4 linked regions of the Schizosaccharomyces pombe genome follow. The gene in region 3 interacts genetically with the main gene of each other region. Each region holds a gene or a part of one and is shown on either strand. Other genes may lie near its edges. The genes, in order: imp2, rng2, cdc15 and bgs1.

What was found.
Region 1: mutations in cdc15 (region 3) and imp2 are lethal when combined (synthetic lethality), as found in Schizosaccharomyces pombe (5 studies listed by BioGRID, with this or other methods).
Region 2: mutations in cdc15 (region 3) and rng2 are lethal when combined (synthetic lethality), as found in Schizosaccharomyces pombe (3 studies listed by BioGRID).
Region 4: of cdc15 (region 3) and bgs1, changing one enhances a phenotype caused by changing the other (phenotypic enhancement), as found in Schizosaccharomyces pombe (4 studies listed by BioGRID, with this or other methods).

Annotation. Positions count from the first base shown.
Region 1 is NC_003423.3:3,345,962-3,350,952, reverse strand, and holds imp2 (F-BAR domain protein Imp2), read right to left. Parts: upstream 3,054-4,991; 5' UTR 2,973-3,053; coding exon 2,904-2,972; exon of another isoform or gene 2,810-2,903; coding exon 2,718-2,809; exon of another isoform or gene 2,653-2,717; coding exon 980-2,652; exon of another isoform or gene 932-979; coding exon 753-931; 3' UTR 501-752; downstream 1-500. Other genes in the region: protein Ndc80, read right to left, coding at 1-28, 78-105; protein tam11, read left to right, coding at 4,136-4,324; SPOM_SPBC11C11.01 (U2-associated protein), read right to left, coding at 4,665-4,991. UniProt on the Schizosaccharomyces pombe protein: Required for normal septation. Involved in the disassembly of the medial ring during septation.
Region 2 is NC_003424.3:2,643,184-2,651,950, reverse strand, and holds rng2 (IQ motif containing GTPase activating protein), read right to left. Parts: upstream 6,524-8,767; 5' UTR 6,435-6,523; coding exon 1,965-6,434; 3' UTR 1,524-1,964; downstream 1-1,523. Other genes in the region: U5 snRNP complex subunit Spp42, read right to left, coding at 1-1,213; hcs1 (3-hydroxy-3-methylglutaryl-CoA synthase), read right to left, coding at 6,808-8,091, 8,268-8,327. UniProt on the Schizosaccharomyces pombe protein: Component of the contractile F-actin ring; required for its construction following assembly of F-actin at the division site.
Region 3 is NC_003424.3:1,397,056-1,404,841, reverse strand, and holds cdc15 (F-BAR domain protein Cdc15), read left to right. Parts: upstream 1-1,905; 5' UTR 1,906-1,955; coding exon 1,956-2,036; intron 2,037-2,094; coding exon 2,095-2,186; intron 2,187-2,362; exon of another isoform or gene 2,363-2,377; coding exon 2,378-4,815; exon of another isoform or gene 4,816-4,826; intron 4,827-4,871; coding exon 4,872-5,044; 3' UTR 5,045-5,642; downstream 5,643-7,786. Other genes in the region: CCR4-Not complex subunit Not1, read right to left, coding at 1-1,520; cir2 (electron transfer flavoprotein-ubiquinone oxidoreductase), read left to right, coding at 6,919-7,786. UniProt on the Schizosaccharomyces pombe protein: After the onset of mitosis, forms a ring-like structure which colocalizes with the medial actin ring. Appears to mediate cytoskeletal rearrangements required for cytokinesis. Essential for viability.
Region 4 is NC_003423.3:2,350,636-2,359,852, reverse strand, and holds bgs1 (primary septum and spore wall linear 1,3-beta-glucan synthase catalytic subunit Bgs1), read left to right. Parts: upstream 1-2,488; 5' UTR 2,489-3,609; coding exon 3,610-8,799; 3' UTR 8,800-8,931; downstream 8,932-9,217. Other genes in the region: DNA-binding transcription factor, MADS-box Mbx1, read right to left, coding at 1-8, 160-306, 374-424; SPOM_SPBC19G7.04 (protein-DNA covalent cross-linking repair protein), read right to left, coding at 9,087-9,217. UniProt on the Schizosaccharomyces pombe protein: Alternate catalytic subunit of the 1,3-beta-glucan synthase (GS) complex. Synthesizes 1,3-beta-glucan, a major structural component of the fungal cell wall. Required for the assembly of the division septum and maintenance of cell polarity.

The sequences.
Region 1 (4,991 bases), on a different chromosome or scaffold from region 3:
TTAGATGAAGAAGGTGCCTGTGAATACCCTAAACTTATTGTTAACTTATTAGTCAAAAGAAAAAAAAGAAAACATACGCCTCGCGTAAGAGGAAGAATCTTGCATTTATAGTAATACAAGCAGATTGTTGTCTTTTATCGTTGGAGACGTTAGTTATAACAACAAAACCACTTTGCTAAGTAACAAAAATAACAGTGAATAGCGATTTCCAATATAGAACCGCAAAAATTTATAGTGAATCGCTTTGCAACTTAAAAAAGATATCGACAACGGCAGGATTCGAACCTGCGCTCCCAAAGGGAATCCGCTGGGCTACAGAATAGCAGGCGAACGCCTTAAAACCACTCGGCCACGTTGTCACAGCTTACTAGGAAATAGTAATTAGTTATACATGAAGCTATTATAGACCTGTGTGTTAACTTAGATTGGTAAAGATTTGATGTTTTTTAAGTTATTACAGAATTTTAGAAGCAAACGAGAATTACTAGAAATATTTAGGTAGAAAATGGTGCAATGAATGACAATAATTCAATCATTTTGAACATAATGCTATATATAACAATCGGTATCATTTTAATCTGCAAAATTCATAAAGATTTATAAGATAATAATCTTATAATGTAGATAACTTAACTAAACGTGTAGCATTCTAAATATCCTATAATGTAAAACAACCAAAATTAGAAATCTAGTATTTTAGATTTAAATGAGAATGAGAAAAGATGAGAAAATGCGAAACTATAATACGAAAGCTAAACCTCGATTTCACGAACAAAATTTGACGGAAATTGCCCACGGTTATGGTCATCCTCTCCAACGACAAATCCCTCCCACCAGCCGTCTTCATAAAGCTTAAGAACTGCAATGGTATCTCCCTTCCTGAAGCTTATCTCTTCGGGTATTGCAGCATCATAATCATATAAAGCAGATACTAAATTCAAGTTAGTAATTGTAATAGCGATGGACAGATTAGACATACCATAACCAAGAATACGTTGACCATCTGTACTTGTTGGATTATCAATACTGGTGTCACCGCCGTCTGTAGGATATGCAGGTAAAGAAAGTCGGTTAGACGTGTTTCCAGTAGCTTTTGTATTTATTGTATCATCAACAAAGGAAGAGTCCCGATCAGTATAAGGCTCGTCATCGGTAGGTGCAGTACCACTTGCTGGATCAACTCGAACACCGAAATCATAATTTGGCTCTAAATTTCCTGGTGTTAAGGAACGAGGAAGTCGGCTGGCATTCTGAGAAAGGGAAGAGGAAGGACGTTTTGGTGACCTACTTTTCCTCAATGTGAATGAACTTCGAGATCCATTCTTTCTTGAATCATAAACGGGTGAAACCGCACGATTCTCCATTTGTAGTACACTACCAAATTCTTCCTGAATTTGTTGACGCCGTGATGGAGTGTTAACATTTGGGCGGGAGTCCTCGGTGAAAGAAACAGAATTAGGACTTGGTAGAGAACCAAGTTCGTTATACCTTGGTGGTAGTGTATTAGAGTTAGGGAAGGCACCAGGAGCAGCAGGCGTAGGATTCTGTTTTGGCTCTTCTTGTAAAGAAAGATGCTTCATCTGTTCATCAGCCGCTGAAGTTAAAGGAGAGTCATTTCTCGGACTTGATAATGCATCCGGAGCCGTATTACCAACGTTTGGAGTCGAAGGACGACTCGTTAATTTAAACTTACTCAAAAAGCTTTTCTTTGGAGAGCTTCTACCATTTTGGGAAGAGTTAGAAGAAACAGTGGTAAGCGATTGAATTGCACTAGGAGTATTAGGAAGGGTATTTTCGAAGGACGACTCATTACGAGCGGTGGCAGAAAGGACGTATGGACGATTCAATGGCATGTTGTCATTTTCTATTTTGGTTTGGGCCCGCTGAAAATTAGCCTGAACCAACTCTACAGAATCATCGGGAACCTCGCCCTTATAATAGTCATAAAATTTTGGAGGTTGAGGAATTCCCGTTCCTGTAGATTTTGCGTCAATAAATTCCAAAACATCCTGAGAGACACTGCACTGTTCAAGATTTTTGCGAATTCGTTCACATGCTTGATCATCATTAAAGCAACTACGAGAGATAAGTAGTGTAAATGTCCACATGACGCTTTTCAGGAAATGTCTTCTTTCTTCTTCAATGTCCTGAAGTTTGTCACAGGTTGACCGCCATTCGTTGGTCCAACGAGCGTATGAATCTCTGACAGCTGCTACAGCTGATTGATAGTCAGAAGAACTAGCAGTGATAGCATTCTGAGTCTTGTTTAATTTCGCATTGTTCTTCTCTAGCTCCTTTCCGAAAAGCATGTTTTGCTGAGAAACATAGTAATTTACTTTCTTGCACAAGTAATGGTATTTGTCTTGAGCTTTAACAAGAGCTTGATGCTTGGAGAGTTTATCCTTATGAACTTTTTCTATCCCCGAAACGATCATCTTTTTCTTGTCCTTTAAAGAGGCAGCGTACCGCGTAAACGCATTTTCGACATCATCCTGAAGCAACTGAGAAATCTGCAAATGAGACTTTGCCATATTGTCAACTTCAGCTTTCATAACTTGGACTGATTCTTTGAGGCAACCAGTTTCCAAAGAACTGAAGGTTGTTCGAGACAACTTTGCCATTCGCTTGGCATAATCTTCTTCAATGTTCGCTCTAAGGTTGAAGTTAGAATAAACGATCATAGCATGTTAAACCCTGCTTCACCTCAAATTTCTCACCTTTCATGATAAAACGACCGAAGCTCTTCATTAATGTGTTTCACATCGCTAAAACGCGAAAGTAAAGCATGATAACCCTCATCATTTGCACCCTAATAAAGAATGTTAGTTAAGGTGTTGTGTTTAACACAAAAATCGAAAGTTTTGGCAGATAATGAGCTATCCACGTTGGCTTAGACACCATACCCAAAAGTAATTTGAAAAACTTTTATCAGGCTTTGCTGAAGATGCATTAAAGCTTAATTGTTGAGACATGTAAACGGAAAAAAACACGAATTAAGAGATTTTTCAATCTCGCCTTTATGGCAGTATTCTTTATTCGTATATGGTGGTGGTGTTGATTGTAAATGAAACTAACAACGAGGTAAACAAACGGCAACGCGTTGCCAGGTGCAGCTTTTCATGTCAACAATTAACAAATTTATCAAGAAAACCGATGTAATGAAGATTTTTCAGCCTTAAACTATCAAAAAAAAGCAATAGAATATTGCAGTGGAAAGATAAAAAGCCTTCAAATGCTGAGATATATATGGTGAACAATTGATTCATTCAAAGTCCACTTTATTCATCCTTGAGACTCTATAATTGTTATCTCTGTTAAGCGCACAAGTTTTGCTCACTATTTTGTATTGATTATGTGTGAATACTGTGATTTGAGAAGCGACCCAAGGCAGTCCTGAAAAAAAATACTTACCATAAACTCCGGTAAGCGAACTTATAGACTTAGACATTATGCTAATAAAACAATGATTTAGCATGTATGTATTTGCAGACTTCACGTTCTGTATAGCTATCTCCCGTCTCAAATCGTTTTACTATGTAAAATATTAAATTTTTGAATGGAATGCAACATGCTATTAATCAAAAACTTAATATACTATGCAAGCGGTTCAGGCGTACTGAAAAGTAATATTTTTTAGATAGCTCGATTTGTACCTGCAGCATCATTCGATGTGAATAAAAAATCGTATAATAATTTGTTTACTTAGTGAAATACACTAATCGAAAAAATAAATAAACACTAAAAAAAACATAAATACAACGTTTATGTGAGTCAAATAGATTAAACATATTCATTTATCAGGTACATACAAAACGCCCTTGTAATTCTCGGTTTTTCTTCCAATTTCCATTATTTTCAATCTTATTTTTTATTTCACGAGATCGCATTTCTTAATAACCCGACTTACGTCATGGGTTGGCGGTAGGGACGCTGATATGTTTACTATATATACAGCAGCCGCCCGGCTTCGGCGGTTTATTCTTTAACAAAACAACTGGTGATAAATACTCATTCTATCACACTTAAACACTAGGTGAGATTAAAGTTATTAATTGCTTTTGTCCCTATACATTTGCGAAGTTTTGATAATACGACCAACCTTGAATTTTTTGTACATCCTCTGAAATTATAAATAATGGAACGCGAAGGTAAAGAAGACGTTCGTAAAGCCGACCACAAGATTGTTTATGGTATTGAACGTGTGCGACATGGAATTAACAACTTTTTTGATGACGTTGGAAAAGCAGTAAAGTCGGAAAGCGATACTGCCGACTCCAAGAGAAGTGCTGAGGCGAAAGCCGATGAAGCCCCTGCTAAAATGTAGTGTCTAAAATTACAAGTACTTATACTCACTTTTAAAACATGATCCTCCAACTTTTTGTGATGCTGAACTTTACGATCTTAGCCATGCATGGCGAAAACTGTTTATATATCGAATTGATAAAGCCAGTTTGCACAGCAGCAATAGCATTCTTCGTCTATAAGTTATTCAATACAATGCTTGATGAAAGAGAAAACAAAAATCGTTGTCATTAAAGTATAATAGTATTACGGGTAGTTAAAAATGGATAAATTTAACATCAGTCATACCTTGTTTATATGAAAAGCGATATTCTAAATTGTAGAAGTGTAGTTCTTTTTTATCAATTGCATTCTTCTATTTTCTAGAATAAATCCTCCGCATGCATACGCATGCGCTTTGAGACGAATGTGCCTTGAGTAAAACTGGGTTTGAACTTTGCTTTCCGTTCCTCCGTAGGCTGCGGGCTTGAACTGGAGCTTGTTTCCGTACTCATTGGTATTTGCGATATGAATTCTACGTTTAACAATTCGTTTACATCGACAGGAATACCATTATACTCTTCGTCATCTTGAAGTCCTTCAGTCTCTTCAGAAATTGCTGTCCAGCTATTCTTTGTTTCCACTTTCAAAGCAGCAGAATTTATTTGTGGTGATTGAGGGGTATTTCCCGAAAAATTTCTCCATGCACG
Region 2 (8,767 bases), 1.2 Mb from region 3:
TTTCAAAATTAGGATCTTCTTCTATGGCAGAATCTTCGGGAGAGGTATCTAGTTCATGCAAAGTGAGTTGGCGGGAAGTGATGGGGTTTATTATGGGATCCCAAAAAAAAGCCGGAAGATCAGGATCCTCAGGAGGAACGAAAACATTAGACGGTTGGTGGTATTCACTTAGTGCAACGCTTCGAGCTCTAGAATTATAAAGGTAAGGAAACGCTATCCGGTATTCAGTTTTAATGGGATGTCGGATAATAAGTTTATAAATGTCATTAAATTCATTCCAATCTTCCATTTCTGGGGCTTCGTCTTTGTATAAAGGTTCAAATTTCGGACCTCCTGGGATAGCCACGTTCAAAGCTTTAGCCGTAAAGAAACTATTGTCATTAAACAAGTAAAAGTAATTATCATCGCGTAAATCACTCAAAAGTTGGTAACCTAAACGATGTAAATTAGCCATCTGAGGTAAATTAAGCTTCCAACGACGATAGGTTGGACCATTTACATGGGGAGTATCTTCCAAAGCCTTATTTTCGTAAAACCAATCCATAACAGGAGCGTCATCTTCTTCATCTAAGTCCATTCTAATAGCCTCTAACGGCTCTAAATCAAGCAATTGATCAATAGAAAATGGTGGCTCTTCATCGTCAAAAGGAGGAAACCGCAAACGCTTAAAATTTTTTCGATCACGCTTCTCGCGTCTCATCATCATCCACATCGTTCCCCATTGAGCAATAAAATGCGGTTCAATTACGCGAGGACTCTCGTTTACAAAAGTTATAGCACCGGTTACATGATATAAAACCTTGACCTCCCTGTATTCTTCCCAAGGCATTGGCATGTTCTCAAGCAATTTTAGCACAGCATGTGGCAAGTACTTCAAAGCGCCCAAATAGGAACGTTTATCAGCACGAAACTTCCTAGAAGACATATCTCCCCTGTCTTTCATAATTTTGCGCAGGTGCTCAGGCGGAAGATCAGCTTTCTCTGTTTGAACATAACCCTGCTTCCTTTTGACACCAAACTTTGATTTTTGAGAAGCGCGCCATTTGCGTGCTCTTTCGTTAAGTTGCTTTTCAAGATTTCCAGACTGTGCTGGAGTCTTGTTTTTTCTTTTCTTCACATAACCTGGAGGTGGAGGAGGTGGAGGCTGTGAAGGAGGCTCAAATCCAGGCGGAGGAGGCGGTGGAGGAGGATTCCCCGGTGGTAACGACGCCATTTAGGTAATGGTATTTGTCAGCTGAATTGTGGTAGTGAATATTACTTTGTATGGTGGTGACCCTCGCCATTATTTGTGCGTAATATTCTTTTGTGCGTTTTATTTCATATTAGGTCTATGTAGTCTTCTGCTCATAATACGTGTTTAATGTATATTTTTTTACACGCTATACGGGATTTGAAAATTCAAATTTTCTTCGTTAAAATGCAACACGCTTAAGAAGTTTGTCAACCAAACACCTACCCATATCCAAAGGTTAATTTGAACATAATCATGCTCAATCGAATCGCCTTATAAGAATTAGTAAAGATGTATGTATTGACATAAATTACATTTTGTTATAAAAAAGTGTTATTTGTAATTATAAACCTTTAACTAATTCAGAAAGTATAAATTACCAAGTACAACTAGTATGCATAAACCAAAAATTCCTATTCCTTGATTTAGTGTTTCAGGTTCAACGGCTTTAGTTGAAAAAAAAAATTTGAAAAATAACACCGAGTTAAATAAGATTTGTACAGTATAAGTAAACACAAGTAGTGATAAAAAAACCCCCCACACTAAGTGAATGAAATGGGAAAACTGTGCAAATTATCAGAATTAAAGGGGAGAAAATATCACATAGTATACATATTTCGCCAAAAGAATATGGACAAGTATTAATGTGCAAAGATATTTGACGGTTTTAAGTTAATTCGAATTAAATCATTGGGTAGTTAAAGAGACGGAAAAATGAACAAAGTGAAACGTCTCATGAATAAAATTTGGAGAAAATCAAATGTAAGAACATATTGGTGTTTAATTTGAGACGGCCATCCAAAACATCCAAAGTTAAAACCTTGTTATATTGAGCAGACAACAAGTCGTCCAAATGCAATTCACACCTTGGGCTCGAAACTTTAACTGTCGGGCTTGTTGCTTCCAGAATAAATTTGCCAACTTCATCGGCTGATATAGTAATATACAATTTTTCTTTCTGCGGCATATGAGATATTGATACCAAAACTCCTCGGTCATAGAGTTTAAGAGCTGGGTACTTGAACGACCCAAAGCGAGGAACGCGTCCAGATTTTCGGAGATCTCGCATGTGAAAATACTGTTTAGAAAAAGGAATAAGCTTCTTCTTACCCTTCTTTGATTGTAATGTTTCCATAGCTTGTTCAATGTATTCGTTATAACTTTTTAGCTGCGAATCAAGGAAAGCTCTTTTTTCTCGTAAGTTAAGCAAACTTTGATGTCCCGCATCAAGTTCACGCTGTCGTTGCATCCTTCTTCTCGACTTATTACGGATATCTAGAGCGATAGAATTTACCATATCTTGGTAATTATTCCGTCGGTTTGCAAATCCAAGCTTTTCCATTTCCACTATATTGCTTAGTGCAGTGTATTTCAGTTCTGCAAATGACATTGAAAAGATAGAATCATCAAACAAATCATAATTCCTTGCATTCTTTTCAGATTCTTCTGCCAATAAATTTTGCCATGCTGCTTCGTCTGAATCTGTAACCGGTTTGACAAGTATTTCCAAAAGATTAAGGCCATTTTGAATTCGAATAATAAATAATATATATCTCTTTGTCTGAACAATAAGAGTCCGTTCCTGAGCAACGGGATTTTCTATAGTGCAAAATTTGGGATTCAATTCTAGTTTGACGTCAGTTTCATCTTGCACAAAGTCATTGTCTTGCTCTGAAACAGGACCTAAGCTATTGACAACAGCGCGTAATGGATCGTTCACATCAGGAGGAGCAATACTATCTATGACATATGCAATAGATGAATAAATGCCTAAAATATCGTCTCGCTTCATGTATATTACTGGCCGCTTGGTATTAACAAGGTCTTCAAAAGCATCGAACTCAAAGTACACCTCTGGATCAACCACATCGACAAGCCTTTCTAGCATCAACATGGTATCCTGCTTGGACACCTCAATAAACTCGGAGAGTGGTCTAAAAAAACCAAGTTGCTTAGAGTCACAGGACTCGATTGAAAAGATCTCAGACAAAATGCTTGACAATGTGTAAAGGTTTTTTCGTTGAAGAGCTGTAATAGAGCCATCAACCAACTTGAAGTTATCGGGTGACACAAGTACAGGAGCGACATAAGCCCAATAAACAAATTTCCCTATTACGCCAAAAATTTCTTCTTTATGCGCAGCGGGGAAATATCGTTGTAAGCTATTTTTCAATTGTGCTGCAGTATAGCATAAAGCATAAGGAATATTTTCAATATTCTTAGAAAGTGCTACTAGGAATGATTGACACAGTTTTCGAAGTTCACGAAGTCTGCTAACGTATAGATTTCTTGTCGGTGGGTGTTGCATTGCTAACGACAAAGTGAGTTTTGGACTATCAGTTTGACTGGCAACTTCAGGATTGAAACTTTTAAATAGAGTCAACGGATTGATTTCAAAATCCAAATGATTGTCGGCTACTAAAACCTTGTGAATGCGGCCGAGAATAGTTTTCCAAAGCTTCACTTCACGAACGTCCCCACGATATCCAGTGAACAGTAATTTCCAGACACAGTCATCAGAAAGTAGATCCTGAGATGAATTAACTAAAGCTGCTTCTAGCTTAATGACTTGGGAAATGAATCTCAAAAGTAGTACTTCTTCTCGTCGGTTAGAGCCATGGCCGAAAATTTGCAAAACTAAATAAACAGCATGACGGATCTTTACAGAGGAAGTGCCCTCAGTTTTTAGCGCTTGAAAATAATTTGCTAAGTACATTTCGTTGGTTTGTAACACATAGAAAAAACACTGATAAAGTTCCAAAAATTTTCTGCTTGAATTGTTGAGTGACTTCATAGACAGAGTATTAATTTTTAAATATTCAGTGCTTTGCTTTCCAAATTTATACTTGTTGTGATGTTTTAAAACATCATCCAAACTGATTTTGTTTTTAACCAACAAAGCAATCTTCACGTCTAGTTCATTGATGTGAACTTCAATTTCTTCATTGTCTCGTACTTGTTGCACAATTTCTTTTCTCATTTTTTCAAGCAATACTTCTTCCTCAAAGTCGAAATTGGTGTCGTCTAATAAATGAACAAAATTTTTGACCGTCATAACAGGTGGATTTTTGGCCGTAGCAAGTTCTCTATAAGCCAACCCTTCTTGACGACCCCTAAAAATGGACTTCGCAACTATGGGATTCTCCATATTCTTATGAAAATTTTGAAGTTTTCTTGAAAATTTGTTTCGAGATAGATACCCACGAATTAAAGATTGTAACAATACAATTTCAGGAATAAAAGAATCTAACTGAACTTCAGTATAATTCACATCATCTCGTAAAAGAATTGCACGGACTGCAGATTGCATAAACACGATATCTGGTAATCGCTTTAACAAATAGTCGTTACAATAATCAATTTTGGTTCGAGTAATGAATCCCCGATAAAGAGATTGGGCTTTAATGACAGATAGGTGCGATTTTTGAAAAGAATCATAAATGCTTTCCAAGTTTTTTCTTAAAAGAAAAGCCCGAACAATTGCCTGTAGAGCAATGAAAGAGGATGTTGATGCTTTTAATTTCTCCAATTTCTCTTTAAATGCCCGACGAATCATAAATCCTCGAGATAAATTTTGTAGTTTAATAAAATTATCCAGTTCTCCCAGAAGTGATCCATTTAATCTGTTTATAGAATCCCTTATCAAGCGTCCTTTGCAAATAGAGTGAAAAGAAACGGGAAACGATTGTACGGAATCTAGAAAGTTAGACCATTCATTCCGAAACATATTTGCACGCAGTATACTTTGCATCCGGTTAAAGAGAGGGATATAGTTGTAAAGGTTGTCAAGCATATTAACTATTGCATGACGGGTAAGAAATCCTAAAGCTGAGGATTGAATTAACACAAATGATGGTGTAAATAAGTCTAGCCTCTCTATTAACGAGTGGTATTTACGACGATAGAAACCCCCACGAATAATGCTTTGTAACGTTTGGATTGACTTCGTTGCCTCCTCCTGTAAAACCACTTTACGGTATTGTGCACGTATCAGATATGCACGAGAGATGGATTGAATAGAAGTAACCCAGTTTACAAGTTCATCGTATGCTTTCTTTCGTATTCTGTATGTATTTCTAGATATATATCCACGAATTACGGCTTGCAGAAGTACGACAGAAGAACTTTGTTCCACGAGGGATTGTAACATATCCACCAAACGCAAGCGCACAAGTACGCCACGACCACAAGCTTGAATCGCGTTCACGATTTTCTCATCGACAGGGCTACGCTGACTAAGTCCAGAAGTGGTAGAAAATAGTGCCTCCCGTCTTCTTGTGGGTGCTGAAAATGTTGTGAGGAAAGATCGTTGCATATGTCCCTTTTGAGAAGGGGGTTGAAAAAAAGAGTCTTCGAATTCGATTGAATGACTAGGCAAAGTTTGTTTATATGGTTCATTAAATTGTTCTAACGAAGGTGTCGCTGATTTCGTCCTTCTGTGCATCTTAAGGATGTCTGAACGAGCGCTAGCATCTTTCTTCGAAAATTCTAAAGTAGGAGAAGTATAAGGAGACGAATATATAGATGCAGAATCTGATGAATTTAGGGTTTGGAAACGAGCATGCTTGGGAAATCGTGTAGGGGAAGGAGTGCGAGAAGAAACAGGACTAGCACGAAGCATAAAATCGGCACTTAAAGCTTTGAAGTTAGGAAGGATTACATTAGATTGTCGGAGTCTACGGACTATTATTGAAACGTCTTCATCAGTAAAAGATAGATTTTCATCACTCTTGATTAAAGGGGGTGCCAAGTCCTGCATAGAAAGGAAATAAGAAAGGGCATGAATACAATAGATAACTTTGGGTAAATTTTTCCCTTCGTAAATGTCAGTCAGTTCGAAATGAAAAATTTCGGGAAGCCCAATGCCATGGATAAAGTCAAGAAACTTATTAATGTTATCTGAATGGCGAAACTGGAGTTCATTAGAATAGAATATCTTGATTAGTTTATCGGGTTGAAATTTCTGAACCAAGAGAGCCAAGACAACTCCGTTTCGCAGCGACTGCTCAAATGTAGACGTTGGTCCTAGATCTGTGCCGAGGCATTCTTCTATCCATTTTTTTGCTTCATCAACCCTACACAAATAATCATATGCTTGAAGGGTTTCTCTTTGTTTGGCTGCTAAACGAGTGTTCGACCCTTTCGTGCCAACAGGTGCCCCAGCTTGAGATTGAAGTCTAGATAATCCCACATTTACGTCCATTGAGACTTCTGATGACTACCTACTCAGCATTCGATCTCAAACTAGATAAAGTAACTGCACACAATTTTTCGGCTATGTTAGTGGAGAGTAGCTGTTACTCAGACAAAGAAAATGTGGGTTATCAAGATGAGTGGGGGGTTTTTAGGTGTAAGTAGTTTAATTCAAGATACTGTCCGTTAGTGACGAATTTACTCTAATTATTTAGGTTATGCTATTACAAATGAAGGTTATTCATTTTAAGACTACAATACGTATGAGTTTTAAATAATTAACAAAAAAGTTGTCAAAATCACATATTCATGTATCAAAAAAAAGTCTACTAAAAGAGATTTTAACAGTATCTAGTTTGCATTCTAATCTTTTTTTCGGTGATTTAAGGCTTCACCGAATAGCTACGGCGGAACATGTCATCAATACCAGTAAGGTAGTAAGTACCTGAACGAAGACGTTCGATGCTTCCTTTGGGAGTAAAATTCTTTTTCAAGTGTGCTTGATGGCGTAGCTCAATAGCCTCTTCATACTGCGTAGGGGTTAAACAATGACGATTATCCAAATCGTTAACCAAGTTAGTTTTCTTGGCAATTTCAGAGACGTCGCCTTTGACAACGAATGAAAAAAACGAGGCAGCCAAACCAGAACCATAAGAGTAAGCACCGACGCGTTTTCCTTTAAGTTCATCAGCGGGGACACGGCTAAGTAATGCAGTTAAACAAGAGAAAATACTGGCAGTGTACATATTACCACAGTTGGTAGGGGCATAGACACTAGGGGAAACTCGTTTGTTAAAACGCTCTTTAGTTATGGCCATAAGACCTTTTTCTAAAGCCTTGTCGGTAAGGGATTTCTTAGCATCCAGGGTGCTAAGAAGTTCACGGACACCTTCCAACTCGGGATTAGATGGTTCAGCAGCGCTATCGGTGTACAATAAACGCGCATATGCTTTTTGGACTTGTTTGCAAGTAGGAGCGTGGAAAATGCAATAATCAAAACGATCCAATCCAAGTCCTTGACTTTTTCCATTCTTAGCAACATCACGAACATTGTAATTAGCATATGCTCCATCAAGAGCTTTAACATAACATTCAAGAGAAAAATGGCCATCAACGTAAGGGTATTCACTCGTCAAATCGGGTTTGTAAAAATCGTAAGCATGTTGCATGTAAGTACCACGTAGACCAGGTTCAAAAACAATAGGGGCATTAGGACCAACCAAAAGGGCGACACAACCAGCACCACCGGTAGGACGAGCATTGCCCTTGGCATAGAGAGCAATATCACCAGCGACAACTATACCATCACGGCCATCCCAAGCAGAAGACTCAATCCAATCGATTGTGTTAAAAAGAGCGTTCACGCCACCATAACAGGCATTAACACAATCAATACCTTCGACATTGTGGTTATCCCCAAAAAGTTGCATTAAAACACTTTTGACAGACTTAGATTTATCGATGATAGTCTCAGTTCCAACTTCCAAACGACCAATCTTGCTTATATCAATTTGGTATCTCTTGATAAGTTGAGAAAGAGCGGTAAGACCAAAGGAATAAATGTCTTCACGATCGTCGACAAAAGCCATCTTAGTCAAGCCGAGGCCAATAGTATACTTTCCAGTAGAGACTCCATCATGCGCTTCGAGGGCAGCTTGTTCAACATACTATAGGGTAAAAACGATTAATATCAGGTTCTGAAGGAATTTAATGAGAAAGTATTTCTATTACTTTCCTCTGAAGCTTGCGTAAATTTGTACTATTGAAAAAAGATGTAGGTAATGCATGCAAATAATTTGGAGGAGAAGTTTTGAAATAAAGTAGCGACTCATTTATAACATACCTGATTGGGAGTGTACAACACGAGGCCCTTAATACCAATATCTTTTCTATCAAAGGACATTTTCTTGAGTTTCTACAAAGTGTGAGGGTTTTGAAAAAAGATTGCACTAACCTATTTGTGAGGCGACTAAGCGGAAAATTATCGAAGTATCTTGGTTATGGTTAAATGAAACAGATAGCTTTAGTTAGAGCGACAGTGTGTTAACGCGTTGCAACGTATCTTATTGTACGTGTGTTTAGGAATTTTTCTATTTGAGCTATTATAATATTTCAATTAAATTCTGAATCTACGATTAATAAATAAATTATTATTCATAGAAAAATTTATTTATTAGCTGGGAATAGCTTTGTATCATACGTTCACGTTTCTCGTATGATAAGATCGACCAATTCTTGAATATTAAAAGGAATAACATTGCTAACGTTATATTTTCGGCTAACATTTATCTTGCGTTTTATTCTTTTGCAAATAATATACAAATACAAACGGTGGACAAGTGA
Region 3 (7,786 bases):
CACAAACTGCGTAAAAAGGCGAACAAAAATTGAGGGTTTGTTCGTTCAATCCTAACGAAGACAAATTTATGTTCTTTGAAATTGGAAAAAAAGTCTGAACACCATTGAAACGCTAATGACTCTTGAACAGGATTCCATGCCAAAGGGAGCTGCAGCGTACCCAAAAGCAAAAGCTCGGCAGAAACTTTCTCATCCAAAAAATTCAAGAACAGTGAAGTTTCGTAGGTGACTACCTCAGATAACAGGCGTAAAAGGATTTGGACAAGTTCAATGCAATTTAAATTACTTTTTTCATATATTTTCGCATAATTAACAAGCTCTTCGCTATAATCCTTTAAGCTATCAACAGAAACTACAGGATTGACATTGAACTCTCTTATATCAAACATCGATGTTGGGGATAGGATAATATGAGAAATGATGGAAAGTTGCGGTAAAGGATTTCTCCAAAGAACCCAGAGAAAGTCCAACGTAAAATTAGTTTGCCTTAACTTGTAAGCATTTGTAAAGATTGTGAAGAACAGTACAAGACTAGGTGTACCCGTTATCATAAATTTAGGATTATCGAACATAGAAAGCATAGCTTCCCAATTTAGGTTTTCAAAAGAGGAAACGATAGCTTTACCCATCAAAACAGTGTCCCAAGCACCATAATCATGTATAGCTACAAGTGAATTTATAAGATAAGCAACATCAGTCTCAGTAGCCGTTCCCGGGGGATATTTTTTAAGAATTGCTTCTTTCATAGACTTAAGTGTAGCTTTGGAAGCTTTCATCGGACCAAACAAAGCTGTAAGAGGGCGTGAATTCGCCAACTTTTTCTCAATTATAGCATCAAACTTTGGAACTTTAATCAAGGGTATTCTGTCATAGTCGGTGGTAAACAAACCTTCCCTGAGCAAATCCAAATCGTTTTTATCAATACTTTGTTGCTGAGTAGGATCGGATAGTTGGTTTAAAAGAGATTGGAATGTGTTTTTAAGCAAAGCAGAAGCTTTCTTTGCTAAAGTAGGTTTAACAGAAGTGGTAAGTCCAATTAAAAGGTTAGTCCTTTCTAACGGGGAGAATTGGAAATGGTCTAAAAATGCCTCTATATCGAAATCTTCAAATACTTCAGAATCAGAACCTGAAATAGCATCACTAAAACGTTTCGCCATGACCCAAGACTTCGTGAGAGATTTTAATTCATCTAGTAGTAATTTATAAGTAGCTAGTCCATCAGAAGATTTACCGGTACCAAAAATACGGTATGAATTTCCTTGAATTAGACGGCGAAGAAAATGGTGGTATACTCTGGGTGCATTTTTGTTGATAAGTTGACGAATCTGTTCAAGTTTCGTATCATATTGGTCTTCCCGTAAGGTCGACAATAAGAAAAGGATTTGTGCTTTAACAATACTTTCAATTTTTGAATCGTTTGGTGGAGGGGTCTTAGAATCTAGTGATATAGGATGCCCAGATTCAGAAGTTGAACTAGATTTCTCTCGTGTCTCCGGCGTTTGTTGTTCTTGGCTCTTCATATTTTTAACGCTTTTCTATTACCATGCCTTTGTGAGGCTATTATTATACTCCTATGCTATTTTCAGCTGATATATTCTTTGAATATTTACAGATGAGATGCAGCAGTATCTGCTAGCAAGTTTGAATGAAAATAGGTGCAGTGGTGTTTTGCAAAAGATATGTCGGTCCTCCTCACTGCCAGGCAGTCTAAGAAAGGATCGAACATTAAATTTAACGAGACTGTATCTTTCGTAAACTTTTTTAACAAAATTTAAGGATAGAGTTAATTTGCAGTTGCTTATTGTGCACTCAGATAGGCAACGGTTGCTAGGGACGGTTGTCACCGCAGTAGTCGCAGTAAACAAACATGTTTACTCTTTTCCTGAAATCGACTACCAGGAATTTACCAACAACAAATCACAAATTTTGCTGCATTTTGTTCTTTCAATAACAAAATGGAGGTTAATGGAGTCTCTCAATCTGAAGCGGCTCCGTACGTTACCAAATCTTCTGTTAAGTTCCGCGATAATTTCTGGGTATGTGTAAATTTGCTGTATTTAGTAAAGCAAAGTTATGTTAACAAAATCGTTGCAGGGATCTGAAGATGCGGGTATGGATGCTCTTATGTCCCGAACAAAATCTTCTCTTTCCGTATTAGAATCAATTGATGAATTTTACGCAAAGCGGTAAGTATGGTTGCCTCGTTTGGAAGTTGCAGCTCTACCTTAAGCGCTACGATGATTCAAGAAATATGTTTTTGGTCGTTTCATTGTCATTTAAGATGTTTTACAGATAATCGTGGATTCTTAAGATAGCTTGTGTAATGAACCGAAGGGTTCGGTATGATTATTGATTAAAGTCTGACTAACTAAATTAGTGCTTCTATTGAGCGTGAGTACGCATCTAAACTGCAAGAGTTAGCTGCCAGCTCAGCAGACATCCCAGAAGTTGGATCAACTTTAAATAATATTTTATCTATGAGAACTGAAACAGGGAGTATGGCCAAAGCGCATGAAGAAGTCTCACAACAGATAAATACCGAATTGCGAAATAAAATTCGCGAGTACATTGATCAGACGGAGCAACAGAAAGTTGTTGCAGCCAATGCCATTGAGGAATTATATCAGAAAAAAACGGCTCTCGAAATAGACTTATCCGAGAAGAAGGATGCCTACGAGTACAGTTGTAACAAGCTGAATAGCTACATGAGACAGACAAAAAAGATGACTGGTCGTGAATTAGACAAATACAATTTAAAAATCCGTCAAGCAGCGCTAGCAGTAAAAAAAATGGATGCGGAATACAGAGAAACAAACGAATTACTTCTTACAGTTACTCGGGAATGGATTGATCGTTGGACAGAGGTCTGTGATGCTTTTCAACATATTGAGGAATATCGTTTAGAGTTTCTCAAAACAAACATGTGGGCCTATGCAAATATAATATCTACTGCTTGTGTAAAAGATGATGAATCTTGTGAAAAGATTCGACTCACACTCGAAAACACTAACATTGATGAAGATATTACTCAAATGATTCAAAACGAAGGTACCGGAACTACAATTCCCCCTTTACCCGAGTTTAATGACTATTTCAAAGAAAACGGATTAAATTATGACATCGACCAGCTCATTTCTAAAGCTCCTTCTTATCCATACTCCTCTTCGCGTCCCTCAGCTTCTGCATCTTTGGCAAGTTCGCCAACACGTAGCGCTTTTCGCCCCAAAACTAGTGAAACAGTTTCATCGGAAGTTGTATCATCACCACCTACTTCACCATTGCATTCACCAGTTAAGCCAGTGTCTAATGAACAAGTTGAACAAGTTACAGAGGTTGAACTTTCTATTCCCGTTCCTTCTATACAAGAAGCTGAATCCCAGAAACCAGTACTTACAGGGAGCTCAATGCGTCGACCTTCTGTAACATCACCAACTTTTGAAGTAGCTGCTCGTCCTTTGACTTCAATGGATGTTAGATCCTCTCATAATGCCGAGACTGAGGTACAGGCTATACCCGCTGCAACAGATATATCACCCGAAGTTAAGGAAGGTAAAAATAGTGAGAATGCTATCACGAAAGATAATGATGATATTATTTTGAGTAGTCAACTTCAACCTACTGCTACCGGAAGTCGGTCATCTAGGTTGTCTTTCTCTCGACATGGACACGGGTCTCAAACTAGTTTGGGATCTATCAAACGAAAATCAATAATGGAGCGTATGGGGAGACCCACTTCTCCCTTCATGGGTTCTAGTTTCTCTAATATGGGTAGCCGAAGTACCTCACCTACTAAAGAAGGATTTGCTAGCAATCAACATGCCACAGGCGCGTCTGTCCAGTCTGATGAGTTAGAAGATATTGACCCCAGAGCTAACGTTGTTTTAAACGTTGGACCCAACATGCTTTCTGTTGGAGAGGCACCAGTGGAATCCACATCCAAAGAAGAAGACAAAGATGTACCCGATCCCATCGCTAATGCAATGGCTGAATTAAGTTCGTCAATGAGAAGACGCCAATCGACATCAGTTGACGATGAAGCGCCTGTTTCTCTTAGTAAGACGTCTTCTTCTACAAGATTAAATGGCTTGGGCTATCACTCTCGAAATACTTCTATAGCTAGTGATATAGATGGCGTTCCCAAAAAGAGTACCTTAGGAGCTCCTCCAGCCGCACACACTTCTGCTCAAATGCAACGCATGAGTAATAGTTTTGCTTCCCAAACAAAGCAGGTGTTCGGAGAGCAACGAACCGAAAATTCAGCTAGAGAATCCCTTCGTCATAGTCGAAGCAATATGAGTAGATCTCCTTCTCCAATGTTATCGAGAAGAAGCTCCACCTTGCGCCCAAGCTTTGAGAGGTCTGCATCTTCTCTTAGTGTACGCCAATCTGATGTCGTTTCGCCAGCACCTTCTACAAGGGCTCGTGGGCAATCAGTGTCTGGTCAACAAAGGCCATCTTCATCTATGTCGTTGTATGGTGAGTACAACAAATCTCAACCTCAGTTGTCTATGCAACGTTCTGTTTCTCCCAATCCGTTAGGCCCTAATCGTAGATCGTCATCAGTCTTACAGTCACAGAAATCTACTTCATCTAACACATCAAACCGAAACAATGGTGGTTATAGTGGATCGAGACCAAGTTCAGAAATGGGTCACAGATATGGGTCTATGAGTGGAAGGTCCATGAGGCAAGTTTCCCAAAGATCCACCAGTCGCGCACGGTCACCAGAGCCGACTAATAGAAATAGCGTTCAATCAAAGAATGTCGATCCACGAGCTACTTTTACGGCTGAAGGAGAGCCAATTTTAGGATATGGTAAGTTCATTAAAGAGAAACTTTAAAAATTTTTAATTTTACTAATTATAATTCAGTTATCGCACTTTATGATTATCAAGCTCAAATACCTGAAGAAATTAGCTTCCAAAAGGGCGATACATTAATGGTTCTTCGCACACAAGAAGATGGATGGTGGGATGGTGAAATTATTAATGTTCCAAATTCAAAACGTGGTTTATTCCCGTCGAACTTTGTTCAGACGGTATAGACACTGATTACCCTCTTTTCTAGATGTTTACACTTGCATTCTTTTTCGCGTGGTTACTATCTCTTACTAATCCGTAATTCCTTATTTTTTTTTTGATGACTTAACGCGAAACGACATGCTTTTTTTTTTTAAATTCATTTCTCGTCATGGTCTAAGCTTCGTTGCATTGCATAGGTATTTATACGCATTTATTTTGATATCTAAAGATTTCTGTTTTAAAGGAAATACACATAGAATCTAGTTGATTGGAATATATTTTATTTTATTTTATTAACAATGTTTGACTCCTTTGTCCTTTGGCTATTGTAAGACGTAAGAATAACACTAATTGTTTTTGAAGATTTCGTGCATTTCAAAGTTTCATATGATTTTTACATCAATTTCAAAACCGATTTTAGTAAATTAAAATCAAGGTACGATTTGGTATGTAGCTTTGACAAGATATAGCTAAATTGCTAATTTTTATCAGTAACTAGAGGATAAAGTTGAATAAACCAAAAATATAACACGATGATGAATTTGCCTGCTCAAAAATATGATATCCGCAGATGTAGGATTCTGAGCTTTACTTTTTAAAAAGAAGCCGACCGATAATTACCAGAAAATGCATTTGTGGATAAGGTATGTTTGAAGAGTGCAAACCCAGATTTTTTGTTTGGCTATAGATACAGTGTGCATCAACTAGCTTGTAAACATGAGTGTTAGGAGATATGAATAGATGCTTATAAAATGATCTGATTGAAAAGAAGTCTCGCTAGCCTGAACAGATAAGATTATTGATTGAGGTATAAAAAGACATAAGACCCTGATTTTGCAAAAACACATGCGTGCCTTTATATTTACATACCTACTTAGTGAAAAAGCTACAGATTTTGTTATTTGCTTTAACGATACAATGAACTGCGGTGAGTTTCGCTTATGAGCTGTTTATTCTATGATACTTTTGAATAATAGAGGTAACAGTTGCTATATATATTGTTATATGTAGGTACTGTTGTAATTTGTCGCTGAGAAAGAACTGAAGAACGAGGATCTATTTATCGTGTATTATTCTTAATAGCTTATATTTTATTGTATTGTTAGCAAGATCTATCTCATGTTCGTATTATCATGACACGATGTGCAAATTGAATGAATGAATGAATAATGATATGTAGCGTAATGCAGTATTACTGACACATACACTGATTTTACACAGTATCTCTAAAGCCGTCAAAAACAGAGAAATTAATTATCGTTAAATTATTTAACGCCATAAATAGAACTACTGCCAAATTCACCAGAATATCATAAATGTAATAACGAAATTTTTCACCAGAACCTTCAATTTTATTGATAGCGGCCGTGATAATTGGTTTTCCCGCACATTTTAGATTACTTAGATCCGATTCATTGGCTGTATCCGTAGCCTTCGGTTTAATTCAGGAAATGCAATTGGTGCGCTGTTAAAGGTAAGGAGCGGCTTCCTCGGTTAAATGACGAATGTCCTGCGTTCCTTTATTTATTTTATTTACATCTTCTTTTCCTTTTCCTTCTTTACTACACATGTCAAATTAATAGCCACTAGCTTGACCGATTAGAGAGAATCCAACTTTTTTCTTTCTCTTTCATTCCTGTTGTTTTGTATCTGTCTACACTTGTTCGTTTTAGCGGTGCGGGATTTCCAAGTGTATTAACGGGTGTCTGTTTGTGAATAGTTTTTTTTTTTGTCTCGTCTTAAGGCTCCTTCGTTTCTAGTTTTGTAATATCTTTTTTTGTATTATTTGATAATTGTTTTCATTTGTTGAGAAAGTACTTGATATTAGCTTCTTGTTCTGTTCGTATTAGTGATTACTTTTAAATTTTTTCAGCAATTGTGCTAAAGTGCCTAATTAATGTCTTATTTATCGAGATCTGCACTCGCTCGGTCAGTCGGGGCTAAACACCTTACTGGGGTATTGAGAAAAATCGGGAGAAGGGGAGGAAGATCGATGCACGTTCTCCCTCTCGCTTCTCCTAGTACTCTTTTAAAAATCTCTTCTCAAACTTTACGTCAAGATTTCACCGTTCTGGGCGCTCGTAATTTTCATTCAAGTTCCGTTCGACTTAATGAATTGACGGATAATTTGCGTAAACTAGATACTATTGAGCGAGAGGTCGAGGATGTGGATGTGTGTATTGTTGGTGCTGGCCCTGCGGGACTTAGTGCTGCCATTCGTATCAAGCAACAAGCTGCCAAAGCCAACAGAGACATTCGTGTCGTGGTACTTGAAAAGGCTGCTGAGCCCGGTAACCACAGCGTATCTGGGGCTGTAATTCAACCTACTGCCTTAGATGAACTACTTCCTAATTGGCGTGATGACCCACCTGAAAACTGTACTGCTGTTACTCACGATAAAATGAAGTTCCTGATCCCAAAATTGCATTTCCCTATTCCTGTCCCTCCAGCCATGAAGAACCACGGAAATTATGTTATGAGTTTAGCAGAATTTACCAGATGGCTAGCTGCAAAGGCCGAAGAATATGGAGTTGAAATATATCCTTCTTTTGCTGCTTCAGAGGTCCTCTACAACAAAGATGGTTCTGTTATTGGCGTTGCCACTAATGATTTTGGTGTCGATAGTAAGGGTTTGCCCAAAGATAATTTCGAACGCGGCATGGCTTTTCACGCACCTGTCACCTTATTTGCTGAAGGTGCTCACGGTTCCCTATCAAAATCTATTATTAAGCGTTTTAATCTTCGAGGAAATTGTGAACCTCAAA
Region 4 (9,217 bases), on a different chromosome or scaffold from region 3:
GAAGAATACTAAAGAGGTGTATGTTAATATTAAAAACTTGTAAAAACATTGCCACGTTTTCTGGTTGTTGACCTTCATCACCTTCCCTATAATGTATTCACTTTACATTGAAAGGATATGACAGAAAAGGATCAGAAAAACGGGAAATATGAAACATACAACGTGACAAGCATTTTTAGAATCAAAAATCATGACCACCACTTTAGCATCACACAAAACGGAGAGTTCATGTGCTTTTTTTATCAAGCCAAGTCGTCGACGATTAAAAGTAAGAGCCTTATTTTTTGCATCGGAAATACGCTGTATCTAAATGGTACGTTAGCGAGGAGAAAAGGGGTGTATGAATGGAACCAAACCACTATGTAGCACATACAGAACGGCGAGGAGATGAAGGAGCAGTACTAGGAGGAGGATTAATATCCATAGTTAGAGTCCAAATATTTAGGTAATAATATAAATAAGAAGTAGAAAAAGAGCGACAATTAAGAACCAAAATAGTAAAAAAACAACAAAAAAAGGATTAAAAATTAAACCAATTGACTAAATCAACCGAGGAAATTCAGTGAAGTCTAGAAATAAAAATTAGGAGAAAAGGGAGAAGGAAAAAAGGGCGCAAAGAAAGTGAGAGTTTCGACTATTCTTATATTCTTGTTTCGTGATTATTGACAGTGTAATAAAAATCAAAATTAAGGGAAGGCAAAGACGCATGCAAGGAAGTGCAAAACTTAAAGGTTGAAATACAAAATATGATTATCCGCTAGATTCACTTGAATGTATCAGCTTGACTTGAAATGCAGCAAAACAGTAATGGGTACCAAAATGGGATATAATCTAAAGGGATAAGAATACAAGGAAAATGTCGTTAACGTTTTGGGTAGACGAATGAAAAAACCTTTTAATGTAGAAAAAAGAGATAACTTTGGAAGAATTTTAAAAAAGCAGGCAAATATTAGGATATCATTCAATCGGCTCCTATGACTTGAAGTCTAACCCAATACTAAATGTGCAAAAAAAAATAAGGAAGCCGATCACCAAAATAAATGGAAACCAAATAAAAAAAAGCCAAGGATGAAATTCAAAATATTCAATTTGAGACTTTCAAAATGTAAACAAAGCGACAATAACGGCAATGTAAAGTTTGCGGAGACAAAAAATTTCACCTTTGAATATAAATAGAAACACTGAATAGGCAGTACGGAAAAAAATTTTTCTTAAATCAACCCCAGACTTGAACCAAAATATAAAAAATGTGAAATTTGGATGAAAAAGAAGCGTATACAGCGTATCAGGAACGTATAGTTTGTAGGAAAAAACGCTGGATTTATCCTTTTCAAAATCTCGTGGTAAATGTACTGAGCCTTTCTATAAAGCCCACCCAAGCCCTGTAAGGTACCGGACGAAAAAAGTCTCGCTACAGGGGGTTAAGATGATAAGAAAGGCTAGGGTGCTAGATTATTTATCTAATAAGGTAGTGTAAAGAAGTAAAACAAACTAGAGAAGTAGAAAATATAGGAATTAATGAAATGGAGAAAATGAAAAGAGCAGAAGGTGCGACAATAGAAATAGTTGTAGTCAAATGATTGTAAGAAGTTGTTTAAGTGTGACAACTAAATAGTCATCAAAGATTTAAAAGAATATCGCTGTAATAGTCGATTGATAGATAAAAATATTTACAGGATGTGTTTGTTTTTGGGGTATTCGTAAGGGAAATTGCCCAATCCAAGTCTTAACCAGAATATGGAATGGAAACCTTTTCCAATGCCGGCACATTGTTTCTTCCTTTGGATTAACCAATTGCTTTTAAATTCGTACTCGGTTGTCTTTTCATCTTCTTTAGATCCTAACCAGATTTGTTAGCATTCAAATCCGTACTTTTCCCACGCATTCAATACCCAGACATTGTGCGTCTATGATTTTCCCAATTTTCGGGATTTGCGAAAAAAGCCCAATGCCTAGTTCTCTTCATAAGCTCTATACTGTAATAATCATACCTTTGCTAATTGGGATTCGGTACCTTCTAGCTTTGTATTATTTTTACTATTGTTTACCACCCATGTAGACAATCACATATTAGAAATTAGTTTAACAATTCCAAAAAAAAAGAACACTCGTCGCTTATGTTCACTGTAACTGAATTATGGTTTCAGCTACACTTTCTTGACTTTTTGTAGTTTGTTTACTTCTTTTCCAATTCAAATATAGCGTCCTTAGTTTGGTTAAAAGTATCCATCTAAAACGGTAGCTGGGTATAACGATTGATAAGATGCTACACAGTAGCTGCTTATAAATTCTTTCTTTGTTTGACCGGCTATGGCTTTGCTTTGTATGGGGATGGTTTTTTAAGCCTCCTTGTGCCTCGTTGGTGAGTAACCTGAGCCTCCTACCACGCCAGCCTCTAAATTGCTTACACTAAAATAGGCCTCAATAATGTGCACTACCCTTCCCCATTTCGCTGTTAGTTTTGAAAGAACCGGAATGAGTACAACTTGCAGACAACAAACTAGGAACTGGTGGGTTTTGGCTATTTTCACCGTTCTCTTAGTGGAATTACTCTAAAATTTTTGAAAATATATTGATTAATTAGAGTAAATTATCCTTTTTAACGTCAAATTTTTGATTCTGTTGCACGGAATTAATTTTTTCTTCCTTCTTATATATCTATCATTGGTTCCTTCTTTTCTTTTTCCTCTCTTTTTTCCTATTAGCCTCCATACAAAAAGGTTGACTCCATCTTAACATTTGCCAAGTTTTCTTGTGTGATATTATCTTTACGTTAGTTGCTCCATCACTGCTAAGTTTTCGGTGTGTGCAAGATCACCTTTTGTCGTAGCATTGTGTTTGTGTGGACGTTTGGCGTTTGTCCCGGGTTCCTCTTACCCTTTCGCTTCTCTTTTCCTTCCATTTTCCCATCTCCATTTACTTTTTTTTCGCTTTGAGAGATTGTAAATAAGCTTCTGCATACGACAATTTAATTGTTCAATCTAAAGTTTATGTGGAAAGCGATTTTATATTTTCTCCTTTTCTTTTAAAAAAACGTCCTTCCTTGAATCGCTTTTTTAAAAATTTGGTCAGTTTCCTAGGTGTGCATTTGTAAGTACTTCTTTTGGTGCTTGCTGTTTTATGGTATTATTATTGTTGTTTTTATAATTATTTCTTCTTTTTTTTCGCCTCTTTTTTTATAATTTGCATACTGTATTTTTAGGTTCCGTTCATTCCCTTTTGAACCTCCGATATCTTAACTACTCTTTCACTTCGTGATCCCACCCTTTTTCCTACTTTTAGAGCTTTTTCCGCCGTCTTCTCTCATCCGGCATACATATATCACCCTTTTTTCTTCTTTTTAGGATTTGAAAAAGTCTTTTACTTTTTTCATTTCAATCAGCACAAATTTTTTTCTCTTCTACTCTTTTGCCCCCATTTTCCAAGGCTTAACTTCTTTCTTTTTAATCTTTTTTTCAAGGTCTCTTAAATTTATTTCTTTCTTTTGAACATCGTTCCTCATTTGCTAGCATTCTTTCTCACAAATTCCAACTTTTCTTTCTTTCAATTCTTCTTAATTTAAGCATTAAAATTTGTCCTCTCTCCTTCTTTTGAGTCTATTTATTCATCATGGATCAGTATTGGCGTGAACAAGAGGGTCGTGGACTCTTTGAAGATGATGCCAATAGTTATGTCTCTGACGATGATACTATGAGCTCTCTGACCCGTATGATTTACGATAAAAACTCTTCTCGTGATGCATTACATTCTGATTATGATAGCTCTTCATTTAATGTCGATTCCAGTTCAGTTGCTTATCCGGCTTGGAATCAAGCTGGTGAAGAGGCTCCTGTTACTATGGAAGGTGTTCAAGAGATCTTGTTGGACCTTACAAATAAACTTGGTTTTCAAAAAGATAACATGCGTAACATTTTTGATTATGTTATGGTTCTTTTAGATTCTCGGGCATCTCGTATGTCTCCTTCCTCGGCACTGCTTACTATCCATGCCGATGTCATTGGTGGTGAACATGCAAATTTTTCAAAGTGGTACTTTGCTTCTCATTTTAATGACGGTCATGCCATTGGATTTCACGATATGTCTTCCCCAATTGTCGAAACAATGACTTTGAAAGAAGCTGAACAGGCATGGAGAGATCAAATGGCAGCATTTTCACCCCATCGCATGATGGTGCAGGTGTGCCTTTATTTTCTTTGCTGGGGTGAAGCTAACAATGTTCGTTTTGTTCCCGAGTGTCTTTGTTTTATATTTGAATGTGCTTATGATTATTATATCTCTTCGGAAGCTAAAGATGTCGATGCTGCTTTGCCCAAGGAATTTTATTTAGACTCGGTTATCACCCCTATTTATCGATTTATTCATGCACAGCTGTTTGAAATTTTGGACGGCAAATACGTCAGACGAGAAAGAGATCATTCTCAAATCATTGGCTATGATGATATTAATCAATTGTTTTGGTCCTACAAGGGCCTTCAGGAAATCATGTGTGCTGATAAAACTCCGTTGTTAGATTTACCACCGTTTATGCGATATCGACATCTTTCCGATGTTGAATGGAAATCATGTTTTTATAAGTCCTATTACGAGTATCGTTCTTGGTTCCATAACGTTACCAATTTCTCACGTATTTGGGTAATGCATATATCTGCTTACTGGTATTATTCGGCTTATAATTCCCCAAATTTGTACACCAAAAATTATCACATCCGCTTGAATAATAAACCTCCTGCTTCTTGTCGTTGGACAGCTTGTGGTTTAGCTGGTGCTATAGCTTCTTTTATCACCTTGGCAGCTGTGGTTTTCGAATATATACATGTTCCTCGTCGTTATCATTCTGCCAGAAGGTTGTGGCCGAGTATGCTGTTATTGATAAGTACGCTACTTCTAAACATCGCACCTGTTGTTTTCATATTTGCTTCGTCTACGAAAGAGCAGCATTATGCTTCTCGATTGGTTGTAGGAATTGTGCATTTCTTTTTCTCGTTGGTCTGTGTAGTTTACTATTCGATTACGCCGTTACGAAATTTGGTTGGTTTCACCACAAAAAGGTCTGGAAAAAACCTTGCTAACAGATTTTTCACCGCCAATTTCACTCCGACCTCAAAAACAGGTGCTTTCGTTTCTTGGTGTCTTTGGATTACAGTTTTGGTGGCCAAATTCTTGGAATCTTATTTCTTTTTAACTTTGAATTTGGCAGATTCTATCAGATTTTTGGGTGCTATGCGACCTTATGACTGCCGTGATTACATTTTAGGAGCTGGACTATGCAAGGCTCAGCCTAAAATTCTCTTGAGTTTACTGTATTTAACTGATCTTTCTCTGTTTTTCCTTGATACTTATCTATGGTACATTCTTATCAGCACTATCTATTCTTTGGCTTATGCTTTTTGCCTGGGTATCAGTGTGTGGACTCCTTGGAGAGAATTGTTTTACCGCGTTCCCAGAAGAATATATACAAAACTGTTGTATACCGATGACATGGAGATTGTCTTCAAGCCAAAAGTACTTATTTCTCAAGTTTGGAATGCCATTATTATCTCGATGTACAGGGAGCATTTGATTTCCCGTACCCAAATTCAGGAGTTGTTGTACCATCAAGTACCTTCTGAAAAGGCAGGCTATCATACTCTTAGAGCTCCCAACTTTTTCTACTCCCAACAGGTTAAGCATTATAAGCAAGATTTGTTTCCGGCTAATTCAGAAGCTGCTCGAAGAATCTCCTTTTTCGCACAATCCTTGGCTGAATCAATACCCAAGACTAGTTCCATTGATGCCATGCCTACCTTCACTGTTTTGGTTCCTCACTATTCTGAGAAAATTTTGTTATCTTTAAGAGAGATTATTCGCGAGGAAGATCAACTTTCTCGCGTAACTCTATTAGAGTACTTGAAGCAGCTATATCCTGTGGAGTGGAGAAATTTTGTTGATGATACAAAATTACTTGCTGATGAAAATGATTCTGTTATTGGCAGTATCGACAATGAAAAAAATGGAGTAAATAAAGCATATGACCTTCCTTTCTATTGTGTTGGATTTAAATCTGCGACTCCGGAGTATACTTTGAGAACAAGAATTTGGGCCTCTCTGAGAACTCAAACTTTGTATCGCACTATCAACGGTTTCAGTAACTATAGTCGTGCCATCAAACTGTTATACAGAACGGAAACACCAGAATTGGTCGAATGGACAAATGGTGACCCTGTGCGATTAGATGAAGAATTGGATTTAATGGCAAACAGGAAGTTCCGATTCTGTGTCTCCATGCAGCGGTATGCTAAGTTTACCAAAGAAGAAGCCGAAAATGCAGAATTTTTATTAAGAGCGTATCCAGACTTGCAAATTGCATATATGGATGAAGATCCTCAATCTCGACATAATGACGAGCGCCATCTTTATTCTGTACTGATTGACGGTCATTGCCCCATTATGGAAAATGGAAAGCGTCGACCCAAATATCGTATTCGTCTATCTGGTAACCCAATTTTGGGTGACGGTAAATCTGATAATCAAAATATGTCTATTCCTTACATTAGAGGTGAATATGTACAAATGATCGATGCCAACCAGGATAATTATTTGGAAGAATGTCTAAAGATTCGTAGCATTCTTGCTGAATTTGAGCAACTTACTCCTCCCTTACATAGCCCTTACTCGGTAAATGCCAAAGCTGCTGACAATCATCCCGTAGCTATTCTCGGTGCTAGAGAATACATTTTTTCAGAAAATACAGGTATGCTTGGAGATGTAGCTGCTGGAAAGGAACAAACATTTGGTACTCTTTTCGCTCGTATTTTATCGTTGATTGGTGGAAAATTGCATTACGGACATCCTGATTTTATTAATGTTTTGTTTATGATTACTCGTGGCGGCGTTTCAAAAGCACAAAAAGGTCTGCATGTTAATGAAGATATTTATGCAGGTATGATTGCTCTTCAACGTGGAGGACGTATTAAGCATTGTGATTACTATCAATGTGGTAAGGGTCGTGACTTGGGTTTTGGCTCAATTCTTAACTTTACTACGAAAATTGGAACGGGTATGGCGGAACAAATGCTTTCAAGAGAATATTTCAACCTTGGCACACAATTACCGTTTGATAGGTTTTTGTCATTTTTCTATGCCCACGCTGGATTTCACGTCAATAACATGGTCATCATGTTTTCTTTACAGTTATTGATGCTTGTTATTATTAATTTGGGAGCAATGTACACTGTTGTTCCGGTTTGTAGATACCGCCAATTTGACTCCTTGACAGCTTCTTTGTACCCTGAAGGTTGTTATCAATTAAAACCAGTTCTCGAGTGGTTGAAGCGTTGTATTTTGTCTATTTTCATTGTCTTTGGTATTGCTTTTGTTCCACTTGCTGTTTGTGAATTAGGGGAACGCGGTGCCATCCGAATGGTTATTCGTTTAGCGAAACAAATATTCTCTCTATCTCCTATTTTTGAAATTTTCACATGCCAAATATATGCGCAGAGTTTAATTGCAAATCTTACGTTTGGTGGTGCACGCTATATTGGTACTAGCAGAGGTTTTGCTACTGTTCGTGTGCCGTTCTCACTATTGTATTCTCGATTCTCTGGACCATCACTTTATTTTGGGTCACGACTTATGTACATGTTATTGTTTGGTTCAATTACTGCTTGGTTGCCGCATTATATTTACTTTTGGATTACGCTGACTGCTCTTTGCATTAGTCCATTCCTTTACAATCCCCATCAATTCGCCTGGACCGATTTCTTTGTTGATTATCGTGAGTTTATGCGCTGGCTATTCCGCGAAAATTCACGCAATCAAGCAAATTCATGGATTGGCAACTGTCAACTTTGCCGTACCAGAGTAACTGGGTATAAACGTAAAATATATGGTAAGAAGGCAGATAAAATTGCTATGGATTCCCCGCGTGCGAGAATTACTACAATGTTTTATGGTGAAATATTAGGGCCTCTAGGAACACTATTTTTCACGTGTATTCCATTTCTCTTTATCAATTCCCAACCTGGTAACGATGATGAGACCCAATCTACTAATGCTTTTATTCGCTTGATTATTATGTCAGTTGCTCCTTTGGTTTTAAGTGCAATTATTGCTTTTTTCTTTTTCTGTTTAGGAATCATGTTACGTCCTATTCTCGGCGATAGATCTAAAACGTATGGTGTATATTTGGCTGGAGTGGCCCATTTCCTTTTTGTGTGTGTTGATGTTGTTGTCTTTGAAGTATTGGGCTATTTGGAAGGTTGGTCATTTTCAAAAACTTTACTTGGATTTGTAGCAATCATTTCAATTCACAGGTTTGCTCATAAATTTTTTATCATATGTTTCCTGTCTCGAGAATTTCGTCATGATGGTGCCAATTTAGCTTGGTGGTCTGGACGTTGGAATGGCCAAGGTTTTGGATATATGGTTTTAACGCAACCATGGAGAGAATTTGTGTGTAAAACTACAGAGTTGAATATGTTTGCTGGTGATTTCCTTTTAAGTCATCTTTTGTTGTTTTTGCAAGCGCCTGTTATTTTGATTCCTTATATCGACAAACTTCACTCGATCATATTATTCTGGCTTGTGCCCAGCAGACAAATTCGACCCCCAATTTATACCATAAGACAAAACAAACTTCGTCGTCAAATAGTTCTTCGCTATGCCACTTTGTACTTTTCATTGTTTATTGCCTTTTTTGTTCTTTTAATTTTGCCTTTTGTGTTTGGTAAATCAGCTGCTGGAACTTCAATGGATAAATTTAATCTGATTCAGCCAGCGACAAAGATTGTTTATTCTTCAACAAAGAATTCTTCTGTCTAAAGCATTTTATTTTTTTTTAAAGGATTTGTGTGATGTGGATGCTTATTTCTCATTAGAAATGCTCTCAATTAGGGTAAATAATAATTATTATATTTGCATTTTGTTAAATAAAAAATGACTTGAGTGTTGATTAAGTATCTAGTACTTGAGAATATATTATCTAAATAAGTAATGAAGAACGATTGATGGTTAGAGCAAACACAAACTTAATGTCTGTTACATGAGAAAAAATTATTGGTGCACCGTCTGCCCGTAATGTGATATTGATTATGTTATTACGTTCACATTTACAAATCGCTTGAAGAGATAAGGCTAACGGATTTTGAAACGTTTTGTTTAGCATCTTTAGTACGGTGGTACTCATCTGAAAGTTTCTTCATAAGTTCCTTGTGAGTGATGTGTGGGTGTAGCTTTCGTA